Drosophila melanogaster: one gene and its partners. The protein of the gene in region 1 interacts with the protein of each later gene in a pairwise test. Each region holds a gene or a part of one and is shown in the gene's direction. Other genes may lie near its edges.

Evidence for each region.
Region 2: the proteins of CG14969 (region 1) and hbt interact in a two-hybrid assay, tested with the Drosophila melanogaster proteins (one large-scale study listed by BioGRID).
Region 3: the proteins of CG14969 (region 1) and CG17580 interact in a two-hybrid assay, tested with the Drosophila melanogaster proteins (one large-scale study listed by BioGRID).

What each region holds. Positions count from the first base shown.
Region 1 is NT_037436.4:3,333,267-3,337,022, reverse strand, and holds the start of CG14969 (uncharacterized protein), read left to right. Parts: upstream 1-2,044; 5' UTR 2,045-2,256; intron 2,257-2,315; 5' UTR 2,316-2,465; coding exon 2,466-2,796; intron 2,797-2,851; coding exon 2,852-3,039; intron 3,040-3,097; coding exon 3,098-3,278; intron 3,279-3,330; coding exon 3,331-3,578; 3' UTR 3,579-3,756. Other genes in the region: Drsl6 (Drosomycin-like 6), read left to right, coding at 661-879; Drsl1 (Drosomycin-like 1), read left to right, coding at 1,235-1,444.
Region 2 is NT_033779.5:13,329,235-13,332,990, reverse strand, and holds the start of hbt (headbutt), read left to right. Parts: upstream 1-1,869; 5' UTR 1,870-2,192; intron 2,193-3,756.
Region 3 is NT_033778.4:12,804,573-12,808,328, forward strand, and holds CG17580 (uncharacterized protein), read left to right. Parts: upstream 1-2,041; 5' UTR 2,042-2,125; coding exon 2,126-2,347; 3' UTR 2,348-2,462; intron 2,463-2,517; 3' UTR 2,518-2,657; intron 2,658-2,714; 3' UTR 2,715-3,239; downstream 3,240-3,756.

The sequences.
Region 1 (3,756 bases):
GAGAATTGAAACGCTGATTACGTTTTACTTATTGGCCCGCTTGTTGTTTCTTTACTTTTTATTTCTTTTGCACGGCTTTATTTATTTTTCAGTTAGCGGTTTTGGGATCCAATTTTCAGTCCGCGCGCACGTCTTGTCAAATCGCCGATCAGAGAAAAACTGGCTATTCAAAATAGCCGATCCGGTTCTCAGTGGAATTTGAAAATTAAGTCATGGTATTTGAGGTTCGCGAAACATGGTCACACTTCTAGGTGCAGTTATCGATGCTTATATCGAATTTTGCGCTCTCCGTTGGAATTTAAACTTTATAGAATTGCATTCGAAAATATATGTGCTTTAGGCAATAAGCACAAAGTAGCAAATATCACTATCCTGTTGTTTTGGTTGTGATAATTAAGTGCATTACGCCATTTATTGTTTGCTTTTCCTTGAACCATTCATGGGACCTAGATTGAGAGACGTTCTTACAATTATATTGTGTGTATTGTATATTTATCCAGACAAAAGGTAGTATCAATAAATAAAATCGAACGACGCTGGCAGCGACATCGACTAGTCCAGCCCTATATAAGCTCGTCGAAAGCACTTGAAAACAAATTCGATCCGAATCTGAATTGATTAGTACATCAAAGAAAACAATCACCACGAAAACTACTGAAAATGATGCAAATCAAGTTCCTGTTCACCTTCCTCGCTCTGCTGATGATGGTCATCCTGGGCGCCAAGGAAGCCGATGCCGACTGCCTTTCCGGAAGGTACAGAGGTCCCTGTGCCGTCTGGGACAACGAGACATGCAGGCGGGTTTGCCGAGAGGAGGGACGAGGACGAGTGAGTGGTCACTGCAGTGCCAGGCTGCAATGCTGGTGCGAAGGATGCTGAATTTCTACCGAAATTGGACAACTTCTATAGACCCAGAATGATTATGTATCAATCATAAAATTCAATTCCCTAAACATTCACAATTATTTAAAATAAAATCAAGTCAAGAACCAATATTTATTGTTCAGATCAATGCATTGTTATATTCGGCACGTGGTGAAATTGTAAAGGCAGCCGAAAAGTCTGGGTAAATATTTTTATCTCCACGAGATAAATTTCACCACAGCGTCGTCGTACTGAGTGTAAAACTTACAGATCGGAACGTATTTAAGCGCTTATTCTGAGCTGAGAGCGATCAATTTCTTGAGGATTGCATTTCAACAATTACTAAGTTACCAGACCTCCTACCGAAACTATGGAAATCAAGTTCCTAATTGTCCTGTCCGCTGTCTTGATGATAATTTTCCTGGGAGCGGAAGAATCACATGCCGACTGCCTTTCCGGAAGATATAGGGGTTCCTGTGCTGTGTGGCACAGGAAGAAGTGCGTAGATATCTGCCAGAGGGAAGGGCGAACCAGTGGACACTGCAGCCCCAGTCTAAAATGCTGGTGCGAAGGATGCTAAAAAAAGATGTACATGTAAGAAGAGTCTATTCATGTGCATGGAGTAATAAATAGACAACCCTTTCTTATCTATGGATAAAAATTTTTATATATTTTACTGATCATACGGAACTCGATTGATAATGGAAAAACCCCAAGTTGGGGTTGTTTTGGGTCATTCATATCCAAAACGATGTATTTTAGCATTACTACTGCCCCGCTTTTTTTGCATCTATTTATGTAACACACTTAACTTCCTTTCATTGAAATATACTCATTGTGAAGGGTTGTTTACAGATTTTTCGCAAATAAATGATAAACAATGCTCAGAGTTTGATCAGCAGTTGCCTAAATGAAACGTGCAATTTTAAAGTAAACTTCGTGATCTATTTTTGATATGATACTTACAGCAGCTGATCTTCATAATGGGGAAAAGAGGAATTTGGTTAGGGAATTAAAATAAATCAATGACAATTGATTTTACAATTACAATTTCGGTGAGAAAACTGGCAATTACTGTAAAAGTTAATTTGAAAATTCGCGCCAACCTCTTAGCGTTGCCAGATGTTCCACGCTTTCATAGCGATTCCTCACTAAGAAAAGTCGAAGTGTCAAAGGCCCGATATTTTTGGACATCTAAATGATTGCTATTGTTTTGTTTATAAATTACACCAAATAATTGCTTCTATTGCAATTGGACAACAATTTGGTGTGCAGGTAACTGAATGCATGCAGAACTATTGATGGATGATGTCTCCAGCCGAAATACAATACAAAAATATATGATTTTATAAAAGTATTTGTTAAATTGTGATATTGTTTAGTGTGCAGAGGGTAAGAATGTGAGTTTCGTTAGTAATGCCAACAGCAACTCACCCGACACTCCTCTCCAGAAAGAATATATTTCATAGAAGAACTTGGGTGTGCGAAAAGGGAGCACCCGTATCAACAAACAGAAGCACCAGGGGATTCGCCGGCTTCTCGCCCTCCTGGTTTCCTCCTTCATCTCGTTCAAGTAGGCGAAGAGCAAAGCACACCAAAAGATGCGGAGTTACATTGCACTCTTGGGGCTTATCCTAACTCTAAGTGGACAGTTTAACATGCTGCTGGCCGGGAAGAAACATTCCTGCGAGAAATTGCTCGCCGATCTTGGCGATGCACAGAGCAAGTTCATCTACTGCGCCACCACAAAATCAGTGCCCGTGAATTTGTGTGAGGGCTGCGTCGATCTCTACCGCAATCTCACCAATGATTACGGAAACCTAATTGCGAACGCCAACTGTTCCAAGCGTTATCTGAACTCGGACAGGATCAATATAGTGGCTACCACCCAAGGAATCCTAACTAGCCTGTGGCAAAAGGCCAACTGCGAAAGTGTGCATCAGTACTTTGTTCATTTGGGAATCACTGATCTATTCCTACTTTCCAGATTGCTTCAGGGATAATTTTTGGATTGTATACAGCGATAACTCAACAAAGTTGCAAAATTGCTTAGAATCTGCTAGTTCGGATTTAGTTTGCTTCAAGTGCAAAAATGATTACGTGAGTCTAAATGATTTCTACCTTAGCATGGAAAAGAAAGTCGGTGGAAGTGTGTGCTTCGATCTGCAGGACAATGTAAGTTTAAAAATTTATATTTACATTTGCCTATTTTTACACCTTTACTTTTGCTTAGATGAACCGGACTCGTCTGAATTGGTCGAAAACGCTGAAATGCTGTCAACGCGAGGTGAAGCTGACCAATTTTCTCATCGCCGTTGGCGTAGTTGTCCTGCTGCCCATTTTCACCTTCTATATTACGGCAGTTGTAGTGACCAAGCGGCGGGAGGCCAATCATGGCTTGCTCAATGAGCAGGGTAGGAAAGATCGTCATTGGTTAAGCCCATATTCTGATTTTTGGCATTTTAGAACCTGAACTGGACGCGCCCTCCACGTCGACGCTTATCACGGCTGCCGTGCTGTCCACTTCAACAGAGGATCCTGTTGCAATCTCCGCCCGAACAGAAAAGATCGCCAATGTATTGATCGGTGCTGGAACACACCTGTTGGACGAGTCCAGTGATGAAGAACCTCCTAGGGGGAAAAAGGTTGCTCACAGTCCCGCATCCGACTACTCCAGTGACGATGAGCCTCTTGAAAAGCCCAAACGCGCGTAACAAAATCAAAAGCGTTCATTAGAGGAACCTTCGATATCAGCGTAAGAAGAATGTTTTTTAAATTTGAAGAAACTAGAGAAGCAAAGCTCAAAGCATTTCAAGGATTTTCGAATTTTATTATCTTCTATGCTTCTCATATATAACTATATATTGCCTTGAGCCTAACCAAAAACAAAAC
Region 2 (3,756 bases), on another chromosome or scaffold:
AGTCTGAAGAATTTCAAAGCCATCGTTTGTGAGCTTTTTAAGACAAGCAAGCAGTGCGAAAAGCTTTAGTCATTCAAACATATCACGTATACGTAAGATGAAATGGTCGTTACGTTATTACAATTTTAAAATCGAACAAGCTTCTGTTTCAATTTGTATTTAAAATAAAATTAAAATGGTCTGAGGAAATTACTGGTACGATGGGAAAATATATATGTAATATAAAAATATTTAGGTACTTTCATTAATGGGCAACCTACAATGAATGTTGAAGGTTTTGTTTTAATTCCCATAAAATATGTTCCATTTTTTTATGTATATGTATGTTATGTATATTAAATGTATATAATGCATTTATTTAAATAATTATTGATTTCATCATTGTATGTGTAGCCTCAAATCTAAGGGAAAATATCAATGTCTGAAATCAGGAAATTTAGTATAAGTAAGAGCACCCATCAAAAAGTGTACACAACTTTCACTTCCATTTACAGACTCTGGCGGCGGGTAAACAATCCTTTTGTTGGCCAGCTTTATTTGACTATTGTGATTACATTTCCTTGGTTCCTCTTCGCAGTTGCAACTTTCGTTGTTGCAACTCCGCAAGAGTGCCACGCCCACGCCTTACGCAAAAAGCACAGCGCGCAGCTTTTGTCTGCTTAACAGACAACCGGGCCAACGACAACAGCAGCAACCACAACTAACCTTTCCTAATAAAAAGTGATTGCGACGGCCTTCAGCGGCCGCAAAAGCAAGGCGCCACCCCCCGTGAGCAAAAAAAAAAAAAAAATCGCAAAAAAAAAACACACACATACAGGAAGCGTCCTGCATGGTCCGAGCCAAAAAAAGCTCGGTTACATCAACTCTCTGAGCGGAGAGCTCGCTCTCTCGCTTGGCCAAGCTTTTCATTGAGCACGCACATTGAGGCAGGTGCACGGCATCCTTTGGCGCGAGAGAATGCGACATCCGGAGAGCCGGAGAGCACGACCATTGAGGGTCCTGTTCGGGAGAGCTGACGCCTCTGTGTCTAACTAAACGGAAGAGGCTCAAGGCGTCGCTTGATACTTCCACAGTCATCTCAATTTCAAGACTAGAAGGTTAAATAGATCTTTATTTATATTATGATTCAATTAAATTATTAATTTTATATTTCAAATATTTAAAAAAAAGCCTTATGGTTATGTCCTTAAAATATATTATTTTTAATTTAAGTTATAAGATAGAAAATCTTATATGGAGTTCTTAAATATTATTCATAAAACGTAAGTGGGAACATGTGAATTAGTTAAACAATAAGTCTCTCTGTTAAATAAATACATTTTGTCCTGAATTGGATTACAAAATCTCTTGTTCTTCAAAACACCTCAAAATCAATTGAGGTCTCCATCCTTTTCGGTATGCCGCCCTGAATCGATTTTCGGCAATTCGCGCAAAATACCCGCCACCGACAAATGATTCATCCATCATTTGTGAGCCCACCTGGCTGGAAGTGAAGTAGCGTTACGCGGACTTCTTACCCTGCGAATTGTTGTTGCAAAGCGAGTGGGTCCTAATGTGACTCCTTGCACCAGGACACCCGTTCAACGGGGAGGAAAAACCGGCTTTTTGCAACAAACAACAACACGAAAACAAATAGAATCAAGTGACGCCACATCAGGTGACGTGAAGCTCGGAGAGTCGAGCTTTGAGAGCGACTCAAAGAGGCAATTATGCTGGTTTTTTGGCCCAGCACAGCTGACGCACGTTCACGTGGCTCCTGGCACCAATACACACACGCAGGCGACTCTCACGCTCTCGCACACCAACACACATGCACGAAAGTGAGGCAGCTTTTCTGCTTTTCTACGTTGCCGACTCGCTCGACAATTTCAGTTGGGCGACAGACTCTGGACTCGACAGAAAAACGAGAGCTTGGAAATTTTGTGGTCCGTGATTATTACCTGGAGATCTTTGGTGAAAACTAATGCAAACACTCAGCATCTGCACCTGCACCAAAATCAAATAAAAAAAAAGGATGCTCCCAAATAGATACGTGTGTGTGTGACCCAAAACGGGCAAAGTTGTAACGCAGAAAGCGCAATTTACAAACAAAATGCCAAGTGATTCGATTGTGTGAGAAGTCAGTGGAAAATCCATTAAGCAGCGAAACGACAGACGTCAGTCTTCAATCAAATGTAGCGCCAAAAGTCCAGGTGAGAATGCGACAAGTCCTGGAGAAATCCTGCAGGACGTAACGAAAACACGGGCCAAGCCAGGCCAGGCGAAAAACAATTCCGATTGCAGCATGCAGCGGGCGCAGCCAATCAGCGAATGGCGTTCTCTGACATTGGCTGCCTCAAACGGTGGCACGTTGTTGTTCTTGCCCTGCTCCTCCAGCTCGTCCTGCTCGTCCTGTAGCCAGTGGCTCGTATCAAGCTTAAATGTCAGGGGCATGTGCACCCAGCACCCAGCTGCCGAGGGAATTAGGAGCACCCTTTCCCGATCCACTTTTTCTGCGCCTTTTCCTCGGCTGAATTTTAAAATTATCACTTTCGCCCATCGCACAGCGTCGACTTGCAGCCGCAAAAGTTTAAAAACAATTTGAATAGGTATTTATTTGGGTGTGTTTTTCTCGTTTTGTTTCATAGAAGTTCCATGAGAATGTATTTCGTTTCCTCTTTCCATTGTAATTTACTTTGCAAAACTTCCCCACACAGGATCAAAACAAAGAAATTAAACAATTTTTATTTCAGAACATTTTTAAAAGATACATTCATGAGAAAATATTAAAGAAAAACAAATTAGCATACATTTATTTTATATTTCCAATTAGGCTTTAAATATAACATAAAATATATAATTTTGCTTTTGTTAGTTTTCAACAAAAGTACAATAAATGCATATGGAATTCATAATGAATATATAAAAAATATATGTATATCATATATGTTTTTGAAGAACAGCATATAATTCCGTGATCACGTTTTTGTAATCATTAAATACAACCACAGACTAGTAACACACGTTTCTGTTTCATATTCTGAAACCGCAAAAAATAACCACAAAGGTTTCGAATTAGTTTAATAACCATGTTACTTTTTAGACTCAAACGTATTTGTAAATTGTTTGCTGCACGCGTTTCTCAGTCGCCGGCTGCCGACCAAAAACAAAACAAATTAAAGTACATAAAACGTGAAATTATAGGGAAGCCTGTGTCTGTCCCGCACTCACATCCCCTTCTCTGCACGCTTGAATGGCCACCGATAAACCCGCTCAAAAGTCCTGGACAGGTTAGCACGCGACTTCTGGCTGATTATGCCTAATAACTGTGAGCCAAATTCGAGACGCAACAAAGACGAACCAAGAATGCCGAAAACTTTTAATGAGATTTTTGCTCAAATTTTGGTTTGCCTTCCGCCTGATGGGGCATATTAGGCATTATGGGCAGTTTGCTATTTAAACTATTTAAATTGCTGAAACATATGAAAAGTTGGGCTTTAATCAATACATATTGTGGTATCAAGCGTTGAAAGAAAATTGATATAAAACATGTACACATTTTATAATGAATTTTTATATTTTTGTCATTCTATAAAATTAAATTTACATAACTTTACACATATTTTTTTAAGACAGACTTAACTTGACTGAAAATAGTTGTCTATTTCTTTATGGTTCAACAAATTGCAATATCATAATTTCTGCTAAAGAAAAGGTATTTAAAATTCCATATACTTTCAATTGAAAAACACCACCGTTTGGTTTTTTTTTTCCGGC
Region 3 (3,756 bases), on another chromosome or scaffold:
AACTTATATTGAGCCGTTTACAGGATTTCTCAATTAAAAGCGACATTTAAATTAGATTAAAAATGGCAATGTATAATTTGTTTCAAAGAATAACTATGTATGCCACAGGCCACACACACTAACCTGCTCGCATTTTCTCACACCCTTTGAATCCTTCTTAATCTCCAGTCGGAGAGCAAACAAAAAGCAAAAGCAATCTTTCCTTTGTGCCACGTCTCGAAAGTCTGAAGAGATCCTTGCCAGCACAGCCTATTTGCTGCTGTTTGCTCCTTTTGAGGACCTTTGCTTTTTCGAGGGTAAACGCTGCAGTGCCAGAGGTGGAGAACTTTGCAAGACTGAATAAAAGTCGGCCTAAAGTCTTATTGTTTTCTGGTTTTTATCTGAAAGCTGCTGCTGCTGCTGCCTCAGCTCTGTCATTCGAGGTCCTGTGAAGTTGGCGATTATTGTTGCAAACTTAGTTGACAACTTGCCTGCTCGTCCTGCCATCTGCACCGCCCACTTATCGCCACCACCGCCCACCCCAAGGCCATGCAGATGATGGGCCGCCAAGCGTAATAAGGCCGAAGCCCAGGGAAAGAGGAAGTCTAGTGAAAATAAACAGTCGGACAGCCAAGTTGGGCATAGTTGAGCTTCTCGGCATCTCAGCTTCGCAGTCTTGCAGTTTCCCAGTTTCCCACTCTCACAGTTTTTCAGTTTCCCAGTTCATAGTTTGCCTGTTGTCTCCCCATTGTCCTGGCCATTCTTTATTTTTCAGTCCTTCCACTCCGGCTCTATATTATTATTATGTCTTGGCCCGGACTGCACAAAGTTTTGCCATTCTCTAACGACTTTGAATTTTTAATAATACCCCGCTGGAGCTTAACAATTTTGCCATCGTTCGGTTGTAGCGGCTAAGCTTTGTTACCAATTTAATGCATTTCTTGGTTGACGGAAATTGAATATCCGTTAAGATATATTAACAATTTATGCCGCCCTGATTGCCGACCCCCAATGCGGGTGCGGAATGAGGAGATCTATGCCTTTTTTGCAGTAAAATTGAAAACGAAACGAAACGGAACCAAAGCACACAGATACTATACACGAACGAACGGTAGCTGTGGCAAGAGAGCAGTCATCATCAGGGCCATAATGAGCAAGTCAATAGCCGGGCGGGCCAGCAGCAAAGGGAAAAGTCGAGGGGAAAGCCAGGCAATCGATGACGGAGCAAGGAAAATGCCGGCTGCCAGCAGTCATGCAGCGACGTGCGATAAAAAGCAGATTGCAATTTGTTTTACTGATTTCCATGCTTTTGGCTTTATTTGCACGACGGAAACTTTCATTAACATCAAACAGAAACTGAAATTGAAGCAGTAATGGCATCGCCAGCACTCCAAAGGATACAGCCACGGGGAAAAGCTGGAAAAGCCGATCGAAATGCACTTAAATCATGGCAAGAATGAGATCTACGGCATGCTTAAGTGGCATTATATGTACATACATATGCGCATATACGAGAATGCCATTATTAAGTTGCATCCTTCATTTGCTCAATTTGGCCAGTTGACCAGCTGGCCATTTAATTGATACGGCAAAAGGTCAGGGTGATGGTAGACCCACTTGACACCTCACCAAATTCCAGAATTCTTTGGGCAAACATTTGAGCAACATAAATGCACAAGTCCTACCAACCAATTAGTTGGCAAATAATGGAGAGAAATGACTTTTCATCTCTCGACCGCAAACAAAGTCCTTTTGTATTCCACCCAGGACCTCCTGTTCTGAAATTTATGCACGGACTTGGGCCTGCAAGGATCTCGAGGAGTGGCGGACGACTCTTGTTTTGTGTTCCAAGTAATTTGAACAAATTTGCGAGACATTTTGTGGCCTCCGAGCAAATATTTCAGGCCAATGCTAACCACCCCATCATCATCATCATGGCTTGGGCAGGCCTTTTGCGGACAAAGGCCAATTAACTTAAATAATTAGCCAGAAGTTTTCGCCATCGGAGATGAATCTCAGCCTACGAGATGCTCAAGTAATTTCAATAAAATGTTATCATTCGGTTGCTGTCGAGTTGCCAGGGAAAATCCAATCAATTATCGCCCAAGGGAAGCAAATTCGTACAGAAAGTTAAAGGCCCAGGGAAATGGGAAACAAGCTGCGCCGCCAACCACAAAGAGTTGAAGTTGACGAGGAGGAGGTGAGATCCGACCGACCCCAGAAGAAGCCACCATCGTCATGGCCCTTCTGGCGCCTGGTCTACTGGCTGGGAGTCCTCATCATGGTCATCGGCATCGGTGTGGGCATGTACTTCACCCTCAAGTCGGACTTCGGTGAGTGCTCCTCCTACGACGTCCGTTGCGATTGAGTGCTCCTGGCGATATAGAAACTTCCACGGAAATGGCGGAATTCATTACCCATTGAACTTCAACTAATTTGAAGCAGCTTGGCCTGCGAAAGCAATTGTTCTACATTTAGCGAGAGTAAGTATGCCAGCAGATATTAAAGAAAACTATTTAAAATTATTTCCCAAATTAGATTTAATTAAAACTTATACACCAGTTATGTTTTCTTGTCGAAACATCAGTTTGATCTTTTTACTTTTTATCATCGCAGTCTACATTTGCCTGTTTGTTTTATATATACTCCACAGAGTTGGTGAAGATAATTAATATTGGGTTTGTAATATTATTTTTCATTTGCCTTGCAGTATAAACCAGCTTATCTTTTCGCAGATTCATATGTAAAGTTATTCATTTGTCTGTTCTCCTGTTTGAATTGTGATATGCTAAGCTTGGTTATATCACTATCAACTTACGTGCAGTCCAATACTTGTCATACATGAATTCTAGCAGCTGGATCTTAATTAAAGCCGGATGAAACAACCCACCCCACACTAGACCGCCTCCTTTATTGTTAACAATTACAAAAGCAAGGCCGAAGCCGCGCAATCTCCAGCAACACATGCAGATACATTTGTGCATGTAGACGTGTGTATTTGTGATGCTATTCAAACTTATTGGAGCGCTTCCTTTTGATGGCGTTCTGGTTGACTCTTCAATGGCGAAACACTTTTTAGTTGAATGAAGCTAGTGAATGCACATATTTTGGGTTGCATATAAAAAATCCTACGATTATTCACTGGCCCTATTTATTTTGGTGTTAATTAACGAAGTGGAGAATGGCATTCATTGATAAAAGTGTACAACGATTTTTATTTCACATATTTATGCTATTGCTGTAATTAAAATAACAATTTGAATTAAAACTCTAATTTTAATAAATAAACTAAAATTGCACACTTATGACGACACATTTTATTTAAATTACCAGCTTAGGAAGTTGATTGCTTCTACTAAACGAGACAAAAGTTATTTATTTCGGTGCGTTGGGGGTTTATCTTAAAACGACTTCTTATGAGAGGGGCCATCAGTCAAGGTCAAGCTTAACAAAGATTTGTCGGCAATTCGAGCTTTTATTTCTTTGACACTTGCCAGACTTCTTTCGTTCGCACACAGCAGGTGAAATATAAATAAACTTTTTAATGAACTTTAAGATTTATTGCCAGCAGCAGCCGCAGCAAGTCAAGTCTGACACTTTGTGGCTTTAAATTTTCGGACGGGAATGTGCTGTTTAGATAAATTATACAGCACAATATATCCCGAAGGCACTGGCTGGCTGACTGAATATTTTGAATGTGAAGAGCACCCTGCCCTGAACTAAATATTCTGCAAATAATTGCACTCGACATCGACTGAATAGACCTAGCCCACAAAT